Linked DNA regions of Arabidopsis thaliana. The protein of the gene in region 1 interacts with the protein of each later gene in a pairwise test. Each region holds a gene or a part of one and is shown on either strand. Other genes may lie near its edges.

Region 1 (7,056 bases):
TCTAAACTAGGCTTTCTATACTATTTTCACTTTGGCGATCATGAGTTTTTCATAGTAAGTTTATTTGTGAGATTTGATACCAACAATTTAAACTATTTGCTCAGAAAGTTTAATTAATGTGAATTAAGTAAGGTCACGATATGCCAGCACCGCATCATGGAAATTCATTTCATCAAGAATTGAAGATATAGATTAAAGTCTAACATTTTGTTGATATTAGGATCAAATTAAGTATTTATAAGGAGATTTTATGGGGGGAAACAGAGATGTTTTTGTTAAATAATCTTTGAGCTCGATAATTACGGGGAGAAGTTTCAAAGAATAACTGAATTGTTTGAACAATATATGCTGGGCCGAGTTAAACCGTCGAGCTTAGAAAGCCGAACTATACATCAGTAAAAGCTTTTACATGAAGTTGGCATTTGAGATGCAAAAAGATAAAAATAAAACTCTCTTTTGGTCCATATAGAAATATATTTTCTTATGGAAAGGGAATTCAGGACCGGGAATGTAACAGTTAGATGAAACTTCATCACATGAAATATTTTATTTTTAATTCAAGTTTCTAGGAACAGAGGAAGTCATACCACTTTCGTGGAGCATATCTGGACGGTTATATGAAACTTCATGACAGTTTAACAATTTAAAAGACCAAAACCACGTGTCCGCACATCGTATACTCAATCAAAGTCAAAGAGAAGGTTTGCTACTTTTCTTAATCTAGTCGTCGATATGACATCACATTTCACACAATACGTGAGAAAAACTTACCATCACATTATTACGAAAACACCCCTAGTCGTGGTCAACTTGACCTTTCCCCACAAACACTCATTGCGGAGGAAACTTCCCGGCCACCGCCGCGCAACCGCCTCTAGCTTTAAATAATAACACCAAAATATTCAAACCCGTGTTTTAACCGTCGAACAATCAAGAATCTCTCCACCATTACACGCATTCACATACTCATCTATATATAATCTACCACTTCTTGAAAAGAATTTGCATCAGAAATCCATTTCCCAAATCTTCTAGATTCATATTCAAATCAAGAAATGACTCTCGCTAAGAACCAAAAATCATCATTGTCACGACTATACAAGAAAGTTTCCTCGAAGAGATCAGAATCGTCAAGAAACCTTGAAGACGAATCAAGAACGAGCAGTAATAGTAGCGGAAGCAGCTCGTTAAACGTTAACGAGCTAAGAACCGTTTTTGACTATATGGATGCAAACTCAGACGGGAAAATCTCCGGTGAAGAGCTACAAAGCTGCGTTAGTCTCTTAGGCGGCGCGTTATCGTCACGTGAGGTGGAGGAAGTGGTGAAGACATCAGACGTTGACGGAGACGGGTTTATAGATTTTGAGGAGTTTTTGAAGCTTATGGAAGGGGAAGATGGTAGTGATGAAGAAAGGAGGAAGGAGTTGAAAGAAGCGTTTGGGATGTATGTTATGGAGGGGGAAGAGTTTATTACGGCGGCGAGTTTACGGAGGACGTTGAGTCGACTCGGCGAGTCGTGTACGGTTGATGCTTGTAAGGTTATGATTCGTGGGTTTGATCAGAATGACGATGGAGTTCTCAGCTTTGACGAGTTTGTTTTGATGATGCGTTGAGATGATATATATGGGATTGGGACATCTTCCTTCCCTCCTCAAAATTTTATTCATTCAATTATTATTTTTGTGAGAGATTCTTATTCCTTTGTATATTTGTGTCTCATCTAATCTATTTGTATTATTTAACACACTTCATAATAAACGTGTCTTGTTTTGATATTCTGAATTTGTCAAAACATACAAAATGTGTTTATATGTCTCCCCATAACTGAGAATACCCAATTAAGGGGACTAAAATCTAAAACTGCGAGTCGTAAAAGAGGCCAGTCATCACCACCATTTGCCGCTCGACCAATGTCACTAGGTGAGTGAGAAACAACCGATAACGCGCGTATATTCTCACATCACTCATTTTTTGGTAGAGGTCGGTAAAACATTTCATATCGTTTGACGTTTGTAAATCTACAGTTTTATTATGCTAGAACAATGATATTGATTCACATTATTGGATGTTTCTATAATTACAGTTACAAACAGATACATAATTATTGCACCAATTCACTTTTTCTATTCAATAAGAGATAATATTGTTTGTAAACCTTTTAACTAAAACGATCCGCTTCGAAACTTGTTTCTTAATGTCTAAAACAATATTACACTTCACAATTTTGCCATCCGTAGAAGTCTCTAGTGTAAAAAATTCTGAATTTGCATGGTTCCGGGGAAATTTTATACAATCTAGAAAATTGGAATAAAATTTTCATAAAATTATTTTTTTGGTCGGATAAAGTTTTCATAGAAGAACACATATTAAATGGATTTATCATCACATAGTAGTAGATAAACAATTTAAATTATGTAATACAAATCAAAATGAATTAATCTATTTGCCACATATAGTGAATTTGATTTCTATTCAAAGGGGAAAATACAAATTCATTTTTAATATGTAGTAGATATTTGTTTCTCAAGTAATTAATATTCATATTTAAAAAATCATTGCATATGTTAAACAAATCTACAAAAAAATTCAATGGTCATTCCATAATTATAAATAATACGGATATTTCACAAATTCACTTTTTGTTTGGAACCCAGAAAAAAGATTCATAAAACCAGGCAATAGAAATTTCATCTGAAGAAAAGAAAAAGTAAAGCTATTAAAAATCAAAGCCACGAGAAGAAAGTAGAAAAAGTTACAGTCTCTGTCTATCAAAATCCCAACGGTAACTGAAAATCGCCGGAACCGAATCTGCGGCGAGCCAAAACTTGTGGATCTTTTAATGAAAACTTGAAGATTCCTCTTTCCACGGTTGCTTCTAGGGTTTTCTCTTCGATTCACCACATCGTCATGAACCAAATCTCTTTCTGGTGCCTTTCTTTACTCCTTACGGTGGTGATTGCTGCAGAAGAGACTCCTATCACTCGTATAGCCTTCGGATCATGCGCTAATCAAAGTGCTCCACAGGTAAATCAATCGTACAACCCCTACTTGGCTCTGGATTCAGTGTTTTAAGACTGCTCTGTTTGGCTGGTGTTTAAGTGAGCTGATTATGGTTTTTGTTTAATTAGCCGATGTTCTCTTAGATGATATAAGCTTGTGTTGCATACTATGTTAAACATTGTATTTTTGTTACATTTTAGCCGATATGGGATGCGATAAACAAGTTTGATCCGCAACTGTTTATTTGGTTGGGTGATAACATCTACGGAGATATAAGAAGACCACTTACAGTCATTGGGAAAGAGAGAACTTTTGGGCCATGGAGGAATTCACCGAGGTTTGTACCTTCTTCAGAGGAAGAAATGAAACTAAGATACGCTAAAGCCAAAGCTAATCCTGGATATTCTCGTATTCAGAGAAAAGCTAAGGTTATTGGTACATGGGATGATCATGATTACGGATTGAATGACGCTGGAAAAGAGTTTGATCGTAAAGTCATTAACCAAAAACTTATGCTTGATTTCTTGAATGAGCCTCTTGATAGTCCTAGGAGAAAGCAAGCTGGTGTTTATGCTTCTTATACTTATGGTCCGCCTAATCGGAAAGTTAAGGTATTAACAGAAACTCTTGTCTTCTTTGGTAGTTTTGTTAAGTTTAGAATGAAGAGCTTATATGTGATTTAACACAGTTGTGTATCTCCTTCAGGTTATAGTTTTAGATACTAGATATCATAGAGACCCTTTAAGAAGTGACGGGAGCATATTGGGTGATACGCAGTGGGACTGGCTCGAAAATGAATTGAGCGGTCCCCGAAGCGAAATCACTATCATAGGATCCTCTGTTCAGGTATCTGCAAATTAGACTTTTGTGTCCTGTTCCAGTTTGGCCATGGACTTAAACTTGATGAAGCCTGAGTGTCTTATTCCATCTAGAACTGTTGTCTCTTAACTTGTCCAGGTGATATCAAATCTTTCTGCTACCACTGGACCTCTCTTTTATATGGAATCATGGGGTCGTTTTCCAAAGGAAAGGAAACGTCTTTTTAAACTGATAGCAGATACTAAGGTATGGGATTGTTGACAGTAATGTTTCCAACTGTCAGTTTTCTTCTTTCCTCGTCCCCATAATTCTTCGTTGCTTTGACATTACAGAGAGATGGAGTTATATTCATCAGTGGAGATGTACATTTTGGAGAAATCACGAGATATGATTGTTCTGTTGGGTACCCATTATATGATGTCACCTCCAGTGGTCTAGTACAATCTGTTGAGAAAGTTGTCCCTCGTCCCTTGCGTTCCATAGTTAGGCTTCTTTTTTGGTATACTCCAAGCACGATGAGAGTTATCAATGATAACTGCAAATTCAAATCTTGCACATACGGTATTATTCTCAATTTGATTCCTTTTACGTTTTCTTCTGATAAACTGTGGAAAGATTTATTGACAAGCCAAGACACAGTGAGTCTACTTTAAGTTCCAACTTTAGCTCTATAGCTCTACTGTCACTAACCTAGGACGGAATATAGTAGACTGTAACTGTTGTGAGTTGATTTAACAGAGCAGCGATGTACTCTTTTGTATGATTACATTGGTTACAATATCTTAAACTTACGTGCAGGACAACAAAATTTTGGAGCAATATCGATAGATTGGAATGCAAATCCGGTTACCATAAAGCTCGAGATCAGAGATGTTAACGGAGACACTGTACTAGGCACGAATGTTTCATTATCTGAACTCCAACCAGGAGGCTCGAATTCTTTAAAAGATACAACAACTAAGGGAAAGTCTCAACGATATTGCACACTCGAAATTGAATTACCAGGAACGACCAGATACCGATTGGCAGTTCTCATCTACTTCACCATTGCTGGTATGTCATTCTTCCTCACTGTGGTTGGTCATGATGAAAGAATGTTGCGGAGTACTGATATATACGTTGTTTGATTGGGTTCGACAGTCTTGGCAATGGCGATATTAGGACTTATCATTGGAGCTGTATTGGCCATAACAGCATGCGTTTATAAATGCAAGGTCGATTGATTGTTGATGACATTAATCAACTTTTTTTGGTCCAACAAAAGTGTCTTTATGACTTATAATCTGTATTAGTTGGATTATTCAGGGATTACAATTCGGATGTAGCTTATAATGTTAAAAATTGTTGAACACATGGATTTTGATCTTGTGATGGGAATTCTAAGCTTGAGCTGTTATTAATTAAACTTCTTTGAAAGAGAATGTTTGTGAACACAAGTTAAATTCTAGACTACATGCAATAGCATTATAGTTTCCAGTTTCTTTTTTCTTTTATTATTGTAAACCAAGGTTTATCGTTTATTACATATGAAGGTTTTCACTGTCTATTTGTAATAAATTAAACAAATTAAAGTTTTTATAATTTCAGTAATGATCTCAAAACGGATACTAGCTTTGATTGGTGAACAAAAACAAAGTATATTGGCTTTGATTGGTGAACAAAAACAAAGTATTACAATTTGTACCGCTTTTATTTCTGTTAATTACAAAAGCTTTTTTAAAGCGTTACAAAAAGTTTTACTCTCAGCTTTATTACTATATAGCTTTCTCGTACAACTATTTTTTTACAACTTTGCAGTATTCCGAAAAAGTTTTTATCACCGTTAACAGTTAAGATTTGAACAGCTGTATGTTACCGATAGGATCCACTATACTTCCCAAATCTGATGTTAATTAGTAATATGAGGTTAATTTTTTACTATTTTATTGAAAAAGCGATATTCTTGCAATTGACCCATAATTGAGTCAGCTTAATTTCCATTTATTTTTTTTTTGTTTTTTATTTATTTTTTTAGCTTCCGCTTTCTGCAGTATGATCTATTTAAAATAAAATAAAAAAGGGAAAAGTGGGAAATCGATGCGTCAATCTTAGGTCTCCGAGGTCTCAATTATTTCATCTTCTTCGGTGATTTCTGGGGAAGATGCTCTGGATTTGGGAAAGCAACTCTGTCGATGGATGAATCTCTTTTCGAAACTTCTGGGTGATATGCTCAATGTGAGTGAAATTGTTCTTCGAATTTGTTGAATTTCGTCCATTGTGTGAAATTGCAGACGCGTCTTGTAGTTTGATTGTGAAACTTAATTTTGTAGGCTTCTTTGAGTTACTTCGTTGGAATTTTGGAGTTAGGCTTTTTACATGTTTAATCTTTAATCGAGTGGTTGGTAGAATAAGCGGATCTCACTATAATGCTTTTTGATCATCGCAAGCCTCATGAGATTGTATACAACTTGAAGAAGCTTTGATTGATTTGCATTTGCAGGTTGATTATCTGTGGAAAATGATGGTCTTCTTAGCATGATCAAGGTGTCTGACTTGTGAAGTTTGTTAGATGACGGATGATGATTTCTGAGAAACCGTTGGGAGAAGAATCTATACGGCAGGATCTGGAGGTTTTAACCGTTTCGAGGAGGCTTGTGAAAAGTGTTAGCCAGAAGTTGAAGAAAAAAATTCATAAAACTGAGGTGGTGGAAGATGAAGAGGTTGCAAGGGGAGCGGTGAATTGTTTAAGCATCAGTGTTGGTTGCAGAGTTGCTGATACGGGTGAGGATTTTGAGGAGGATTTAAGTAATAAGAGATGGTCTAGTGCTAGTGAGGATGGTAAGGGATTGATGACCATTTGTGGAACTGAAGAAATTAGGTTAGATTGTTTTTCTTATGGGGTTAGAGAGAGGTTCTGGAAGAAGAATAATAGAAGATACCTTGCGGACTCGGGCCAGGATTACCGCAAGCACGTTTATCTTCCCGATGATATTCTGGAAATGTGTTTGATGAGGCTTCCTTTGACCAGCTTATTGAATGCACACCTTGTTTGCAAGAAATGGCAATCCATGGCCAACACTCAGCGGTTTCTCCAGATGAGACGAGAAGGCTCCTTTCAAACACCGTGGTTGTTTCTGTTTGCTGCTCTTAAAGATGGATGCTCCTCTGGTGATATTCACGGGTATGATGTTTCTCAGGACAAATGGCATAGGATTGAAACTGATCTACTTAAAGGCCGGTTTATGTACTCCGTGACAA
Region 2 (5,466 bases), on another chromosome or scaffold:
CATCCGATTTAATTGAAAATGATAACCATGGAGTTGATTTGGATATGAGGATAGCCAGTGTTCTTCAAAGCACAGGACACCATTATGATGGTGGGTTTTGGACTGATTTTGTGAAGCCTGAGACACCGGAAAACAAAAGGCATGTGGCAATTGTTACAACAGCTAGTCTTCCTTGGATGACCGGAACAGCTGTAAATCCGCTATTCAGAGCGGCGTATTTGGCAAAAGCTGCAAAACAGAGTGTTACTCTCGTGGTTCCTTGGCTCTGCGAATCTGATCAAGAACTAGTGTATCCAAACAATCTCACCTTCAGCTCACCTGAAGAACAAGAGAGTTATATACGTAAATGGTTGGAGGAAAGGATTGGTTTCAAGGCTGATTTTAAAATCTCCTTTTACCCAGGAAAGGTATGTTGATCATTTTGGATTCTATTTTTTTATTTCTATGGCTGCCAATATGTTTTTCAATTATTTCTATAGAGTAACTGAGCTTTCTGGTTTCTTATAGTTTTCAAAAGAAAGGCGCAGCATATTTCCTGCTGGTGACACTTCTCAATTTATATCGTCAAAAGATGCTGACATTGCTATACTTGAAGAACCTGAACATCTCAACTGGTATTATCACGGCAAGCGTTGGACTGATAAATTCAACCATGTTGTTGGAATTGTCCACACAAACTACTTAGAGTACATCAAGAGGGAGAAGAATGGAGCTCTTCAAGCATTTTTTGTGAACCATGTAAACAATTGGGTCACACGAGCGTATTGTGACAAGGTGAATCATCTACTCTATTTCTTCAAGCCTTGTTCTGTTGCTTGAATCCTCTTTACTAATAAATAGTACACGAGCTAATACATATTTTCTACTCATGAAAGGTTCTTCGCCTCTCTGCGGCAACACAAGATTTACCAAAGTCTGTTGTATGCAATGTCCATGGTGTCAATCCCAAGTTCCTTATGATTGGGGAGAAAATTGCTGAAGAGAGATCCCGTGGTGAACAAGCTTTCTCAAAAGGTGCATACTTCTTAGGAAAAATGGTGTGGGCTAAAGGATACAGAGAACTAATAGATCTGATGGCTAAACACAAAAGCGAACTTGGGAGCTTCAATCTAGATGTATATGGGAACGGTGAAGATGCAGTCGAGGTCCAACGTGCAGCAAAGAAACATGACTTGAATCTCAATTTCCTCAAAGGAAGGGACCACGCTGACGATGCTCTTCACAAGTAAGTTCTGAAAAATGTGCTTTGCTTTTAAAAACTTGTTAAGGTTTCGCTCTTTGATTGTCTTTCCCACATCTTGATGAAGGTACAAAGTGTTCATAAACCCCAGCATCAGCGATGTTCTATGCACAGCAACCGCAGAAGCACTAGCCATGGGGAAGTTTGTGGTGTGTGCAGATCACCCTTCAAACGAATTCTTTAGATCATTCCCGAACTGCTTAACTTACAAAACATCCGAAGACTTTGTGTCCAAAGTGCAAGAAGCAATGACGAAAGAGCCACTACCTCTCACTCCTGAACAAATGTACAATCTCTCTTGGGAAGCAGCAACACAGAGGTTCATGGAGTATTCAGATCTCGATAAGATCTTAAACAATGGAGAGGGAGGAAGGAAGATGCGAAAATCAAGATCGGTTCCGAGCTTTAACGAGGTGGTCGATGGAGGATTGGCATTCTCACACTATGTTCTAACAGGGAACGATTTCTTGAGACTATGCACTGGAGCAACACCAAGAACAAAAGACTATGATAATCAACATTGCAAGGATCTGAATCTCGTACCACCTCACGTTCACAAGCCAATCTTCGGCTGGTAGATATTTCCCCATAGGCCACCCAGTTATTGCTTGTGACTTATTAAACCACTACGTTATTGTTATCCTTTTTTACTTTTACAGTTGTTGTAGGTCGTTTGTTTGTTAATAGAAAGGGTAGATTATTATTAGATGTCTTTTTGTAAAATATCAATACGAAGCGTATTTGATGATATATAAAATAACTATATTGGCAAAAATATGAACTATGAAGGCCGTTTTCGTGATTTTGTTCTTTTGTTTCACGAATTCAAGCTATTCCCCTTTTTTTACGCCAAAGATGAAAAGAACCCTCCCTATTAATATCGCTATTGTCTAAAATTTCGAAAACTACTTTAATCACGACTAGACCAAATATATGTCGACCGATACCGATAGAGAAATTAGTGCCCCGTCTAATACTTTCTCTCCAAAATTACAGAATATTTAGAGTAGTTAATCAACGTAACACGACAAGGAAAATGATGGAAAAAGTGGTGGTTTCTGCTTTGGCAACTAGTGTTAGGTCACTTACGTCCTCTTTTTCTGTATTGGAAATTACGTGGATAAATTGAACTTTCTTTCAATCTCTATCAAATTATTAATCCACACATGTATACGCAATATATGATCATTAAATAAATAAAAAGTTAGATTGGTCTATAAATTCGTATCACAAATGGACTAATAATTTGTAGTGAAAACTCATTTACCCATGTGACAGCTCCAAATTTCTGAACTTTTTATTTTGAGGGATGGTACAAATCCGAGTTCCATGATCATGGAAAAATCAAATTTAACAAACACAAATTACTGTTTGAAACAAGCAAGTTACTATATATGTAGTTTGATTTCACACTAGAGAATCTACTGATAATGAATTTTTTATATATCGTGAAGCTGAAAGTGAAATTATAACTAGCTAGTTGAATTGCTTATTATGGTTGGAGGGGAGCCGATGAAAAATTCTTCGACCACACATAAAGTCACCTTTCTAAAGAACACTTGCACCGACCACATCAATCACGCATTCATAAATTTTCAACATTTATATAAATGTAGGAAAAAAACAAAATGAATTATAGAGAATACAAAATGACAGTTAACAATAAATATATCACAACATAAATTTTATGTAAGAAGGTTAGCATGATTTTTAAAAATATATTGTTGTGATTAAATGGAAAATAAAAATGTAGAATACTTGTTTCTTTAAAAGGGTCTTTGTTTTGATTACAATTTTTTTTTTTAAAGAATACCTTTAATATTAGGGAGAATTATTATAGTTTATAATATGAGAATACCTTTATTTCCCTATCACACTCCTATAAATCCTACATATAATTAGCCCATTATTTAGAGCCATCACTAAAACAAAAAATCTCTTAACAACTTCTCCACCTTCTCCCCACCACCACCACTCACCGTCGGAGAAAGAAAAAAAACAACCACCATGAAAGACTGTGAAAACCACGGCCACTCTCGCCGGAAACTAATAAGGCGAATATTTTGGTCAATAATCTTCGTCCTCTTCATCATCTTCCTAACAATCCTCCTCATTTGGGCAATTCTCCAACCATCAAAGCCACGCTTCATCCTCCAAGACGCCACCGTCTACGCCTTCAACGTCTCCGGCAATCCACCGAACCTCCTCACCTCCAACTTCCAAATCACTCTCTCTTCCCGGAACCCTAACAACAAAATCGGCATTTACTACGACCGGCTTGACGTCTACGCTACTTACCGGAGCCAACAAATCACTTTCCCAACATCAATCCCTCCCACGTATCAGGGACACAAAGATGTCGACATCTGGTCGCCGTTTGTTTACGGAACCTCCGTTCCCATCGCTCCTTTTAACGGCGTTAGTCTTGACACCGATAAAGATAACGGTGTCGTTTTGTTGATCATTCGTGCTGATGGTAGAGTGAGGTGGAAGGTTGGGACTTTTATCACCGGGAAGTATCATCTTCATGTGAAGTGTCCAGCATATATAAACTTCGGTAACAAAGCTAACGGAGTTATCGTCGGAGACAACGCCGTTAAGTATACGTTTACCACTAGTTGTAGTGTTAGTGTGTGAAACGGCGACGAAGAAAAATAAGGTAACTAAACGTCTTCGTTAAGTAATCTGTCTTAGTGATGTGAATTGTACATTTTGCTTATACGAATAGCAAATATTACAGATTCGTGATGTTGTAACGAATTTTAAGAATTTCAATATGTATACTTTTTTTTTATTATAGTTGAATTCTAAATTCTATTATAAGTTGTGATGATTTTTTCGAAGTATTTTTTTTGCTGATTTTGATGCATCTTCTGATCCTGTCAAATCGACTTTTGATGACTTTTTCTTATGTATATGGTAAAGTTTGATGGCGATGGAGATTAATTTTTAGTTGAATAGATTAGGCTCGTTAATGTTTTGTGGACGTTGTGTGATGGTGTCATTGTCCATTTGTCTCCATCTTTTTATTAAATTAAATAGAGAGATGCATTTTATATAGAGACTATTCTACAACAAATAAGACATTTCAAAAAGATAAATTTTGTGGATTGGATTATTTTTAGTCACATCTATGGATTTATAGATAAGTTCTATTTGTTGGTGTCTGGCTTAAAAAAATGTTTTTCGTGCACTTTAAAAGCCCATTCTCCTAGAGTTTTGCTACATTGAAATAAAGTTAATACATAACGTTACTTACAAGAATTTAGAATCCGTGGATATTATCGTGGATATTATCGTGGATATTCTTGGATTACCGTGAATATTCTTGGATCTTGAATTGTGAAAATCAGAATCCGGTCTAGAGACTTATTTCTCGTTTATCTGCATTTCCATTCATTTAACTTATAATGTGGTCCATGAAATTGACCAAAGAAATTAAAGGGGAATATGGTCCTTTAAAACTTATTATCTAAGTTGGGAATGAAAATAATATAAGAAACGTTAGACGAAAAAAGTCAGTCACCAATAAGACTTTGGATATCAGTCACATGATATATAGTAGTATATAAGCAACGTTCCATACTTCTATCTCAAATAAAGTTGAGAAACCTAACTTTGGATTTCCTTTGATTTTCAATAAAAATAAAGTGGTTATGAACGTGCTGTGTGTGCTGTTCACACAAAGGCACTAGAACGTCCGAGTAATGCTCAGCCAAACTCACATAATTTTCTGAAAAATGGCCTTTGCTACCTAACTTAAAAATAATTTACAACAACGGAAACTTTAGATAGTTGATCATTGATCAATAGTGCGTGCATCAGTGCATGCATATTTGGAATGAATCAATATTGATTACATATGCAGTGGATCTATCTCAAAATAATACTGATCAACTATTTGTAATATAATTCTTCATTCAAACAAATTAAGTGTTTTAAAAATGTTAATAATTATGATCTCTATCTTAGACATTTTGAGTTTATGTGTTCATGACTATATTTAGTGTAGTTCCATGAAACTAGGGTTTTAGTAGCGTCTTTATGTTCGTCTACTAACGGGCTACACTATTTTATGTTGGGCCGAATTTGGGATAAGCCTTCTACAATTTGGGATATCACTCATCACATTTTACATATTCCTACTTTCTTCCTTAGCATTGAGAAACAAACTTGAAAATAACGCCTACTTAAACCTAGTTTTATGGAGCTGCACACTAAATAAA
Region 3 (6,464 bases), on another chromosome or scaffold:
TCTAAAGGTTGTGCTTGGTTTTGACCTCAAACTTTGCTTTAAAGCTCATCTTTTTGCGATTCTTGAACGCGTTGCTTTGCTCATCCCAATAGTTAGGGAACTTCAACCTCGCAACAGCGTGTGGCATAAATCAGTCAGTCATCGTATTCGTAGGTAAAGCTGTTGAAGAATTAAAACGCTTCCGTATGATTAGTAAAAGGCACACTCACTGACTCACATCTTATATCTGAAAGCAATATTTTTTTCCCCCAAAACGATCACAAAGTCTGATGAATGAAACCCTATATTTCAATATTTTTTTGTAGCTACTGCTTTGATGTTCATTGTCCAATGGATTTTCTCCCATTTTCTGGTAAGATTTTGAACTCTTATGCGTTTTAATTTTGATTCCTTACTATCTCTGCAGCATTGGTCGTTTTTGAAGGACTTGTCCTCTTACGTTTTCTAAAAGGATAAAAGAGCATGTCTTCGTTCTCAGTTAGGTTCTTCAACTAGATTTAAGTCATCATATTTGATTCAATTTAGAACTAAACAAGGTTTTTCTGTGATAAAATTCCAAAGTTAACTTCTTTTATTTAGCAATTGGAGTTTGTAATTTTCGTTGAATTTGCCTCAGTTCTGCTACAAAACCTCTATTGGGTCCATTTTGTTTTCGGGTTTTGAAGACTCTTGAGTTTCTGAAATTCTGGTAATCTTGTAAACCTTGAAATGATTTTGGTCAATTTCTTCACTATGTCATGTGTTTATGTGTACAAATGAGCAAGACTTTAATGTTGGTTTGATCAGTAAATGAATTGCTGATGATGATTGTTTAGTATTCAAAAAGTCTAGAACAAGCAAGAGTTATCTTCATTATGATACTAAAGGTATTATTATTACTAGTCCGAAGAAAGGTTCTCTTTTTTTGAATGCCCATTTTGTGCAACTTCTTAAAGATTATTATAGATCAACTGTTTAGTTCAAAGAAGTCTAAAAAAAATCACAATGAAAATTGAAGATGAAGAAAGATTTTCACTTTCTCAACAGAGTAGTATAGCAAATCGTTTTTCATCAAATTCAATTCTTTTGAGTGAAAGATCAATATAGTAATCATAAAGATTCTGTTTTTACAATGCCCATTTCTCTATGACATCGAATGAGACTGAGAGAAATATCAAAGGTTTGACATTAGAACAGTAACACTCATCACTCAGAAACACAAGAAGAAAACGTAGCTGAAAGAACCGCGAGAGGGACAGAGCTAAAAGATGAAGATAGAGAGGAAGATCGATTATGTTCTAAGCTTCATAACTAGTACCATTTCTCCTTGTAAAGAAGCAGAAAACAAACAATGGAGCTGAGAGATGAGGGAGATTCAGGGTTTGGTCGAAAGAACAATGGAGTATAGGTTTGGTTGATTTAGGGATGCCACGTGTACTTCATCAGTTTCTCTCGTCTGTTGGTTTCACCTTTCCAGTCTTCTTTTTTAGTTATTATAATACAATTATCAAAAAAACTACTAGCTTCTTATGAGTCTGAGAATGTGGTTTAGCCTTATGAGTCAGGTTAACTGGAGGAAGTCAAGATACCTGCTGACCTGGGACCAATAAGCAGAACGAAGAAGTGCCAAGTCTAGCTCTAATGATGCACTACCCGGAGCTAATTGAGCAGATGTTGACTACAACACCAAGTTGGCCATGACCTGTTGTTGTAAATCAGAGCTATTTCAACCAGCAAACACCACTTAGGCTTCCCCATAAATATGTGGTTAAAGCTTAATCAACGACAATTGATGCAACTTCAGTCTCAGGGGGTTAATGCTGGACTATCTTCTGACCAATGTCCAAGAGTAGCAGAGCAGTTGAGATGATTTTCGACTTTGGTTTTTACTCTCACAAAACATAATTTTGATATATGTAAATGGATATGCTGATGACTGTTTATTCAAGATCTAGTTCAAGTTTGGAAGAACGAAAAGTTATATTCTAAACAGTTATTGATTAGCAAACTTTTCTTCACAGTTCATTATTTCTCTTGATCGTTGTCCACTTTCGTGTAATACACATTCGTCATGCGCGCGTGAGATATGGTCGATTCAACAACGGTCACGCGCCTTTTTGCGTGTCAGAGACTTTCAGCTTCAACGTTTTTCGTTAAAGAGACTATTCAACGTTAAGCTAATCCCATTATTAAAGAAAAAAAAACCATATGATAAAATAATTAATCAGATTGATTTTGCCAACAATTTAAGTTAAAACCCTGAATTTTAAAAACTAATCACTTTTTGGATTCTCAACGCTTCTGTTTCTCATTTCTTCTCTCTTCAGAGTCCACTCCGAATCTAATCCATTTATGTTTTGTTCTTCGAAGAAATTGACATCTTTCTCTCTTTGTGTCTCCCTCATTAACTTTGTTTTTGTCCAAGGACAACTCTGCCCTAATTTTACGCTCCTGCCGTAATTTCATTCAGCAGCATCTGTCTTAGTCCAAGGACTTGTCTTGTTATGTTTTTTTGAAAGACACAAAGACTTAAACTTTAAGCATCTGTTGATTGTTCGGTTCTTGAAACTCCGATTTAAGTCATTAGATCTGACTTAGCTTAAGACTAATCAAGCTTTTTTAGCTGACATGCCAAAAGCAATAAACAGTAGCAAAAAAAAACTGTTCCTTTTATTCGGTTGGTGCATTGGTTGTTGGTGTTCTTATCAACTTTCTTCTTCTATTAATTAGCTTTTGGTTTGGGTTTTTGTCATTTTTGTTCTAGTTGCCTCTATTCTGAAAACTCTGCAGCAACAATCTCTATCTGGTAATTTATCTTTATTTGTACAAAAGATTAAGATTTTGATTAGCTGGTTAGGTGTTCAAGAGAAAGTTTTGATCTTTTTTTGGGGGGGATGAAGAAAGTGTATAGGAAGCTGATTTGGATCAGAGACCCATTAGCGAGATTGAAGAGACATGTTAGTTCACATTCAGGGTTTAGGTTTTTCAGAGATAGAAAATGGATGTTCCCTTTTTTAGCAAGCTTGGTTTTGTCGGTTACTCTTTTGATGTCTGTCCTTTATGTCCAACTCGAGACTTCTTATGTGGAAGAGCCATTGCCTTTTGATAATCTCTCAGAAGAAACAAATGATTACTTTGTAGAATCACAATTGAGAATGTCTTTGAATTCGACGTTGGATTCGACTTCTTCAGAGGTTCCTAGGTTAGCTTATTTGATCTCGGGGACGAAAGGTGATAGTCTTAGGATGATGAGGACTTTGCAAGCTGTGTATCATCCAAGAAATCAGTATGTTCTGCATTTGGATCTTGAAGCTCCTCCTAAGGAAAGGCTTGAGCTTGCAATGTCTGTGAAGAGTGATCAAACTTTCCGTGAAGTTGAGAACGTTCGTGTTATGTCTCAGTCTAATTTGGTTACTTATAAAGGCCCTACAATGATTGCTTGCACGCTTCAGGCCGTGGCGATTTTGCTTAAAGAAAGCTTGGATTGGGATTGGTTCATCAATCTTAGTGCCTCGGATTATCCTCTTGTGACACAAGATGGTTAGTGATTTTGTTTTGAAGTTGCATGTTTTGGTCTTTGATACTTATTAGTGACGTTTTTTGGTTCTTCCTGATTCTGCAGATATGCTGTATGTGTTTGCGAATTTGTCTCGGAATGTCAATTTCATTGAACATATGAAGCTCACCGGGTGGAAACTGTAAGTAGTAACCGCTAAAGTAGCAACTCATTATCTTGAAATAGTGAATAAGATGTGCTTCTCATGGTCTTTTGCAGGAACCAAAGGGCCAAATCAATCATTGTTGATCCCGGTCTTTACCTATCGAAGAAAACCGAAATTGCTTGGACTACTCAACACCGTTCACTTCCCACATCTTTCACGCTGTTCACAGGTTAGCTAGCATCTTCATTTTGGTAGTTCATACACAGGTCTTATGGTTATGGATGAAAGAAAGATGGTTTATCTGCCTTGTCTTGAATCTTGCAGGCTCGGCGTGGGTAGTTCTGACTCGGTCTTTTCTTGAATACTCAATCTTGGGATGGGACAATTTTCCGAGGACGATCTTGATGTACTACACCAACTTTGTATCCTCTCCAGAAGGATACTTTCACACACTGATATGTAACACTGAAGAGTTCAAGAGCACCGCGATTGGGCATGACCTGCACTACATTGCTTGGGACTATCCTCCAAAGCAACACCCAAACTCTTTATCGATGAAGGATTTCGACAAGATGGTCAAAAGCAAAGCCCCATTTGCTCGAAAGTTCCACAAGAACGATCCTGTATTAGACAAGATCGATAGAGAGCTCTTAGGCCGCACTCATCGGTTTTCCTCAGGAGCTTGGTGCATTGGTAGCTCGGAAAATGGCGCTGATCCGTGCTCTGTCCGCGGGGATGACTCTGCTTTGAAACCAGGCCCTGGTGCTGAGAGATTAAAGGAGCTTCTTCAGACACTTTTATCTGATGAGTTCAGAATAAAACAATGTTCATGACAGGTAATGATCCAAGCTCAAAATGTAAATTCATTGTGTTTTAGTTGTACTCATAGGTCATAGCCTCATAGGTTTCCATATAAAGTTATACAAAACGATCCATGTCACCCAAAATTTTAGATATAAAGCAATTACAGTAGCAAGAATGGTTAGAGAGAGCTTCAAATTAAACTCTCGCTTCAGCTCTGGATTCAATACAAGAAATCGAAAGGGCTCTAACAAAAGGAGTTTGGAGAAAACAATAAGTTACATTTTGAAATCAAGGTCGAAGTAGAGTGTTAAAGAGGATTGGGAAAAGAATCACAATAACAACTACAATAGCGAGGATAGTGGCGATACAAGCCCATTTCCTGTTGTTCCTCTGAAGTACTTTAGCCCCATGCAATTGATCAGTCCCTCTCATGACGAAAGAGCTCGCCTTTGAGACATTTGATTCAATGTCATTGAGCATATTCCCTTGAGCTTCGACAAGAGCAGCCATGTCGAGGAACACTTGGTGCAGCTCTAACAGACTCCGTTCTATCTCCTTGACCGTGTCGTGTCGTTCTTGAATCTCTGATAATGTGTCCATGACCTGTCCGCGACCTTGCTCTTGTATTGCTTTTTGGAGAAAACGTTCGCTCTCTCCGCTCGATATGAGCTTCTCGACCGTCTCTTCGTCCGCTTTTTGCCCCGTTACAGTGAAGTACCTTCAATGATTCAACCAAATACTCAAAACCTTACCATCTCTTACTTCGAAAGATTAAACATTTTTTGAAATAAGATTTGATCTTTGTTCAATCATAGTAAAAGGATTTGGTCTTTGTTGGATCAGAGTAACACCTAAATGAAAGAAAAAGAAATAAAATTTACCTTCTCTCGACCGTTTCTTTGTATTCAGTAGCCATTTTGGTTCGTAGTCTCTGAAAATCATCCATCATGTCTTTAAGCTTCTTCCCCAATCCACTAACGACCGATGTTCTGGTCCGATCAGCAGACGAGCCAGGACCACAACCAGCGACTTTCCTCTGCGCAGCATTTGATTTCTCCAAAGCTACAAGCTTAGTCTTTATCATCTTGACACGTTTCAAGACCTCTGTAACACTCGAATCCATACGAGCACGAAGCTTCTTCACGGCCTTGGAATCATGTACGGTCTTGGACTCTTCATTAGCATCTTGGAGACGCTTATGAATCTCGTCGACAGCTTTCATGTCTTCTTTAACACTCTCGACATATCCAAAGAACTCATCGAGGTTGCCTGAATCAAGAGAAACATTTTGAGACTCGATGTCATCGAGTTGGACCTGGTGGTTTAAGTCTGTGTATCTCTTGAATGAGCTTGAGATAAGATCGTTCATGGCGACGATCAAGAACTTAGAGAAAAATGATTTCTAATTTCTTGAAAATGGGCAGAGGAACATTAATGGTGGTTGGTTTAGATGGTTGACATGAAGCTAGAGAGACCTTTAAGAGCCGTCTGAAACCAATGTGTAAAATACTAAATAGACATATAATGAGCTGTGTTTAGAACCAGTCAAGAGTTTCAAGACCAAGGAAGACTTTGTAAAGAAGATGGAATGTAAAATTACTGACATTGTGATTTGGTTGGTACCATGTTGCAGAGACGTGGTCTCCAATAATGATCACTTTTTTATGTCCTGTGGGGAATCATGGAGCCCACTTAACCGAAAAAAAATTCAATGTAATTAAACCAGTGGACCTTAAGGCGGTTATGAGTTATGTACAAAGTCTACCAATAGACTAAAATTAAATTACAAAAGCATGTTTGAAGTATTTAAATTCGCAAAGCAATCCAACAACATGTGAGATACGTTCAATATAGAGCTGAATTGATCTGCGTACTTTCAAATCATGGACAAATCCGACCGGATTATTCAGCTTTAAAATCATTGGTATAAGCTACTCTCATAGAGAGTTCTGTGTTACACATGAGATAAGACACTGACACTAAAAAGACTAAATTCATATAAGTGTAGACTCGATAAGA
Region 4 (6,209 bases), on another chromosome or scaffold:
AAGATCCGGCATAAATATCATCGGCAGAAACCTCCGGTGAATATTTACGAACTTTGATGTTTGAGAATGAGTCAAAAGACTCTCCTTTTCTCCTAACAATGTTCTTTGTCGTCGTTCTGAACTCATCGGAACCGAATCTTCTCCTTTGATCAGGTTTGAGAGGCGGTTTCCGGTGAAAATGATTCCTCCGGGAGTTAAAAAAAGTCGCCGGAGAATCTCTCATCCGGTCAACCAAACAATTTTGAGGCCTGATAATTTCGGTTCCCATCTCTAAAGATAAAAACAAAAAAATTATAAAAAATGGCGCCGGAGGAATTCCCTTCGGCGGCTAATAAATAAAGAAGAAATCGTGGTGGTAGAAATGAGGGAGGAGGAAGAAGAAAAGGGTCAAATAGTCCTTTTCTTCGATTCCTGCTCGAAATTTTTGTAAATTGGTTAAAATCTACAAATAATCTAATTTATGAGTTTTTTTGCTGGTTAATGGAATACTGGAATAAATAGAAGAAATTAGAAGAGATGACAAAAATGGAGAAAATGGCTTCTCTGTCAGAGCTTCGTTTCCTCGTAACGATGCATCTGTAACCTAAACACATAATTCTATTTTTCTTTTTGTTTAATTTAGTTTGTTTCCCTGTCCGTTTTTCCATTTTTAAATTTGATTTTCCACAAATCTAATTTTTGCTGAATTAATGTAATGTTGCTCTATGGGATTAATCAAACAAGCATTGGACTACATATATTGACATGTTTTAAATGAGAACTGTAAATATGAACTAATTCCAATGACAAATCTTTTTCAAGCTGTGATGATGGAAACAAGTGATTGCTTCCAATGCAAGAAACTATATTGCCGAAATATAGTTTGAGTGTTTTTGGTAGAATTCAAGATTGATGTTGTTTATAGAAGCAAGCACGAGTGGCTTGGGAAGACATTGACCCGTTATTTTCTAGAAAAAGATGTGAGACACTGTTTTCGTCTGCCTTTGTCTCTTCTGGACACGAAAACCATATCAAATCACACAAGGGTGTACCAGACTTTATCGAGTGAGATTGAAGAGATCACGCCCTTGGTTGGCTTGGGATCATCTTTCTTAACTCTTTAAGTATAGATTGTATTTTTGACGTAATTTGAAAGAAGAAATGTGGCAATTTCTTACACTTTTTCTAAAGGGTATTTGTTTCATTAGGTATAATTTCTTCGTGCAAAAATAGAAAACTTTGTCTGTTAGTGTTAGGTTATTATAATGATGAAACACATTCACAAGACTTAAATGTATGGGTGACAACTAGTATGGATTCAGTCATCTCATGGAGCAAGTTCTCAACAGTGCAAACCATTAATCCGAGTTGGAATATGTTTGCTGATGGGATGAGTTTCTTGGTCGGCGAGCATAACAAAGTTGTATTGTGTTACCCTAACCGGACCCCCAACGAAATCTTACACATTGGGGAAGAAATTTATCACATACAACATTTGGATGATCATGATAGAGATTCTACCTCAAGATCATCTTTTCTTCTGAATTATGTTCCAAGTTTAGCTCGAATAAAGATTAGTATGAATCAATATTAGACAAGAAAGTATTCAGACAAGAGTGCGGTTGAGATTACACCGATTAAACACAAAACTGATGCAAAATCTGCAAACTTATTCGAAGAGCCAGAGAAGAAGTAGATCTTGTGGCTACTGCTCTCTCCTCTGAAGCCTCTAACAATCATGGCCTGCATGCACATAAATTACAAACTTCTTCAACAGAGAATTCTTATTTGATTCTCAAATCAATGAGATGATAATAAGTGAAATCTATTTGACCTGTGATATTTGTTCGGCATGACGAAATATATTCTTGAAGATGCGGCGTATGAATGACGCGAAAACTACAAAAAGCGATCACTTGTAAGATGAGATGTATATAGAAAGAGAGAAGAAACTTTTAGATTCTTACTATCAAGTGTCTCCAGAACAGTAAGCTGCTGCCAGTTTACTCTTCGCGATACAATTCCCAGTGAAACACTTCGGACCTACAATGTAACATATGCACAACGTACCATTATGTGGTTTAGGACTTGGAATAACTAGGCTGATTGATAATATTAAAGCGAATAAGTGAACAGTCGTTACCTCATCGAAAACCAAATTAATGAATCTCAGTGAAAGCAGTAGCGTGAGGATAATTTCACTGACTGGAACACCAATATATGTCAATGGGAACAAGAACCAACGTAGAGCTAGTGCAAGTTGCTCTGGTGTTGTTGTTGCAAGGCAAATACTAGCACTTTGGAAGATCTGTGACCAAAAACCAAATGTTCCATTAAGTGATCTAATCAAGAAAGGAAATAGGTAAACCGCGGAAGTCGAAAAACCGACTTACAATAAAGGTTAAGCATGCGGCTGTGCTTCCAACAGACAAACCTTTCCTTGTGAATTGCAAAGGACCAAGCTTCAGTAACATGTACGAATAACCGCTTAAAGACATGGGAAGATTAGGCAAGCTTGTGATTGAAGATGGTGGTGTTCTTGATTGAAGCATTGGAGGTGCACCATCTGAACCTAGCCCCAATGTTATGAAGAGAATACCCGAAAGAAGCGACACTCTCGCCAATTGATCCTTTACAGAAAAAGTTAGGAAACTCAGCAGAGCAGATAGATCACATATAGAAACAGAGTTGTGACAGAGAAACAGAACTCACTATCCAAACTTGTCTTGGGAGAACAAGGATTGACAAAAGAGCTGTGCATAGAACAAGTCCTAAACGCACAACTAGATTTGCTCTTGCTGGAAGAACTACTAGAGTTAATAGCCATACCTACACATATATACAAATACCAAAATTCAAGCTTTAACAAAAAAAAAAAGACTCAAACTTTTTAACAAAATTGGATTAGAAATTTGATAAGAATCAAGAATTCAATATACCAATTTGATTCTGGGATCCACCGAGTGGAGAAATGTCACAGGAGACGATATGAATTGTCCGATGGGACTTCCGGTGGCGCTTGAAATCAATCTGAAGACGTTTTCGGCTCCAAGTCCTGGAATTGGTAACCGGTTCACCCAATTACCGGTTTTACCGTCTCCGTCGACGGTGGCTCTGACAATGAAAACCCTTTTCGCGGCGAGAGAGGAGGAAGGAGTCTCATTAAGCCGGAGCGGGAAGAGAAGCTTAGGGTTTGTAAAGTTCCGGTTAGGAATTGGAGATGTGAGATGACGAATTGGGTGTTTGGGGATTAGGGTTACGGTGAGGGAGACTGTTGGATTGGCAAGATTGGAGTGATTCATGAGTTTTCAATTTCGGATTGGATCAGACATATGCCCTAGAGCGGGAAATTCTGTACTTGGTAGAGAGAGAGATACTGTAAACTGTCAAGTGTTAAACTGTTGTACTTGTTGGTTTTGTCGGACGTTGACTGTGGTTCTCAACTTCTCATAATAACAAAAGTCAAAGTATACCAAAATTTGGATTTCGGTTCTTGTTCGAATTTGATGTATATATAGACTCGTTTTGGATTTTCTCACACTCTTTTTGTATAAATCTTTTCTCGTAGAGTCATAGCCACACCAAAACCAAGATTAAGTAATTTGATACAATACAGCATATGAAAATGTAACTTAGCTTTTAAGATAGATAACATATTACTGCCTAGGAGCATTTTTGACAATTTTTGAGGTGATGGAAAAAGTTGGCTCGAGAGCTTTTTGAATATTCCAGGCGGTTCGGCCTAAGCTGCCCGTTGTTTCCAGTATTATTCCGGTGGTTTTTCCGGCTTTCTCTCCAAAACTTTGGTGCGGTCATCACAAAAATGTGAATATGTGTTACACTCAACTCAATAAATGTATAAAATTGTAAAATTCGATGGTCATGTAAACATGTTATATAACTCATCTAAACAATCCTAACAAATAAAAATGATAACCTATCTCTAAAAATCATTAGCTACCCCTCAAAACTATTTGGTAATTAATTATTAGATTGTATGCACGCTATACAATAATTCTACCAACTTCGATTTTATTTTCTACCGATATAATCATTCTTTTGATTCAAATACCGGTGTGTTACTATAGAAACATAATTCATTCTCAAAATTGAGGATCACAAAGTGAGCTTTTTACCTCTTACTCACAAGTCTAGTAGCAGCCATGGATGTGGCATAATGAGTTTGTATTTCTGCCGCTTCAGCAGCACCAATTATATTATCTATTGACCACATCAAAGTGTTTATCTGTTTTATTTAAATTTTGATCTCAAAAACTTCAAAATAAATGAATATGAGTATAGATTGACAATTAATGGAGCTATTCTATGTAACTTACGAAAAGAATCAAGTGATGCCAAGATAACCTCTCCTGGAGCAGTGGATAACAATGCCTTCCCTAACTTCGACTTAACCACCGGAGCTATCATCGAACTGCTCACCAAATCTCCACCTTCTAAGGCCGCCATTCCTATAGCCTCGCTCACCTTCCACAGCTTCTCCGCTCTATGTATATGTTACATCCAACAAAATAACCAAGATTTGGTTCATTATAAGAAGGAACAAGAACCAAGATTTTATTGTTTGGTATAATATATACTATTTTGTGGGATAGAGATTAAAATATGAATACCTTTGAAGATTTTTGTTGAGTTTATTCTTCTTATTAGTTTCATTGTTGCCACCTCCATCAATTTGTGATATGTCACCACTTCTTTCCTCATCCTCTTCAGCAATCGTTCCTTCCTCGTGAATCTGTTTTTGTTGTAAGAAAATAAAACGATATTAATAATAAAAAATACTACAATATGTGCGTCTTACATCTCCATGTTCATATAAAAGTTTTTAAAAATCCAACACAAAAATAAGATGATCTATACTAGTAAATAAAACACATAAGTCGTTCCACAAGTTGGGTTTGAATTGGAAGTTCATGATTCTTTACTACAACAAATATTTCGATTCAAATCACAATCATCTATTAACACTCATAAGCATCATGAGAGGGACTTATATGTATGAGACCTTCTTAGAGTAAGAATTGCTACAAGTGAAGATTCCCTTGATGATATGCCCTGTTCCTACCGCGATGGCCTTGGCTACACCATTTTTGTAGTCTTCAGCCTTCGGTGCAAACTTTTTCCAATCAATTTCATTGTTGTTCTTACCTGAAGTACTTGAAGATTTCTCCCCCATGATATCTCCAAGAAACTCAGGGTTTTCCATGATTTCTCCGTCTTCCCCTAAGAAACTCAAGGCTAGCTCCAACAGTTCGGATTTATCGACGATTTGGACTCCGTAATCGGGATTCTCCAACAAAACTTCTTCGTTCACCGCTTGGGCAGATTGGTTTTCTTGGGTTGATGTGGACATTGTGTCTTCTTTCTTAGTACAGTAGTACTTTTAAGTTTGGTTTATATGTGAGGCTCGTTCCTATATAATGTTGGATGATCGAAGGTAATGACGTAAACACTTACCATTTGATCATATTAATAACCAACAAAAATGTAAGACCATAAAATATGATCATATAGCTTGGTAGTGAAGAATAAGTAAAATTTTCTAGTTGTATAACTAGCAAGTTGTTTCAACAGAAGATGAGAGAATACCTTTTCTTAATATATGATTTCATCTATAGAAACAACTTCTAAATTTGACCATACGTGTTATGTTTTCCAAGACTTCATCAAGTTGCTTGTTTAACTGGTTTTTGTAGAGTTTACATTGGTGTTTTGTGATATCATTCTCCTAAGGTATGTTATACATAATCCCAAGTGTGTTATTCTTCTCTGATGAATTATATTCCCCCAAAATTGAGTTTTATATGTTTTGTTTCAATAGTTGACAAATAGAATTAGTTCTACGCAATCAAATCGTTCATATTATTTCCATCGACATTAACAGATTGAAATGTAATTAGGAAGAGGGCGTCAAATAAAAACTAATTGTTTTAATTTGACCAGTTTTTCATATTGTACTTATACCAAATCGGACTACTTGTGTAATTGGTTACACTAGTTTTGACATGTAATAAGTTGTATTAGTTTTCCTATAAAATATTAAAAAAATGTATTTGAACAAAGGTTAAATAAATATTGTCATCATCTCGAGAAGACATAATCAATACAGTCATTGTCATAAAACTTAACATACTTTGTAGAGCTTATGACATTTTGAGTAGCTCATTGATACATTACAAACTATAGCTGATGAGTCCACATTATGTAGAGAA

What was found.
Region 2: the proteins of AT5G42370 (region 1) and NHL1 interact in a protein complementation assay, tested with the Arabidopsis thaliana proteins (one large-scale study listed by BioGRID).
Region 3: the proteins of AT5G42370 (region 1) and AT4G03340 interact in a protein complementation assay, tested with the Arabidopsis thaliana proteins (one large-scale study listed by BioGRID).
Region 4: the proteins of AT5G42370 (region 1) and ABCI12 interact in a protein complementation assay, tested with the Arabidopsis thaliana proteins (one large-scale study listed by BioGRID).

Annotation. Positions count from the first base shown.
Region 1 is NC_003076.8:16,937,315-16,944,370, reverse strand, and holds AT5G42370 (Calcineurin-like metallo-phosphoesterase superfamily protein), read left to right. Parts: upstream 1-2,636; 5' UTR 2,637-2,907; coding exon 2,908-3,024; intron 3,025-3,200; coding exon 3,201-3,611; intron 3,612-3,705; coding exon 3,706-3,846; intron 3,847-3,957; coding exon 3,958-4,065; intron 4,066-4,151; coding exon 4,152-4,457; intron 4,458-4,617; coding exon of another isoform or gene 4,618-4,676; coding exon 4,677-4,872; intron 4,873-4,959; coding exon 4,960-5,042; 3' UTR 5,043-5,390; downstream 5,391-7,056. Other genes in the region: CML37 (calmodulin like 37), read left to right, coding at 1,056-1,613; AT5G42360 (Galactose oxidase/kelch repeat superfamily protein), read left to right, coding at 6,375-7,056.
Region 2 is NC_003074.8:3,677,442-3,682,907, reverse strand, and holds NHL1 (NDR1/HIN1-like 1), read left to right. Parts: upstream 1-2,964; 5' UTR 2,965-3,247; coding exon 3,248-3,877; 3' UTR 3,878-4,313; downstream 4,314-5,466. Other genes in the region: DGD1 (UDP-Glycosyltransferase superfamily protein), read left to right, coding at 1-407, 508-774, 876-1,225, 1,308-1,818. UniProt on the Arabidopsis thaliana protein: May play a role in plant immunity.
Region 3 is NC_003075.7:1,465,875-1,472,338, reverse strand, and holds AT4G03340 (Core-2/I-branching beta-1,6-N-acetylglucosaminyltransferase family protein), read left to right. Parts: upstream 1-2,258; 5' UTR 2,259-2,873; coding exon 2,874-3,519; intron 3,520-3,601; coding exon 3,602-3,677; intron 3,678-3,754; coding exon 3,755-3,870; intron 3,871-3,965; coding exon 3,966-4,474; 3' UTR 4,475-4,612; downstream 4,613-6,464. Other genes in the region: SYP123 (syntaxin of plants 123), read right to left, coding at 4,734-5,163, 5,327-5,814.
Region 4 is NC_003074.8:7,600,440-7,606,648, forward strand, and holds ABCI12 (cobalt ion transmembrane transporter), read right to left. Parts: upstream 3,461-6,209; 5' UTR 3,282-3,460; coding exon 2,919-3,281; intron 2,809-2,918; coding exon 2,692-2,808; intron 2,610-2,691; coding exon 2,373-2,609; intron 2,288-2,372; coding exon 2,123-2,287; intron 2,023-2,122; coding exon 1,947-2,022; intron 1,879-1,946; coding exon 1,814-1,878; intron 1,723-1,813; coding exon 1,570-1,722; 3' UTR 1,383-1,569; downstream 1-1,382. Other genes in the region: AT3G21570 (proline-rich nuclear receptor coactivator), read right to left, coding at 1-268; AT3G21590 (Senescence/dehydration-associated protein-like protein), read right to left, coding at 4,112-4,200, 4,317-4,483, 4,611-4,732, 5,003-5,076, 5,146-5,350.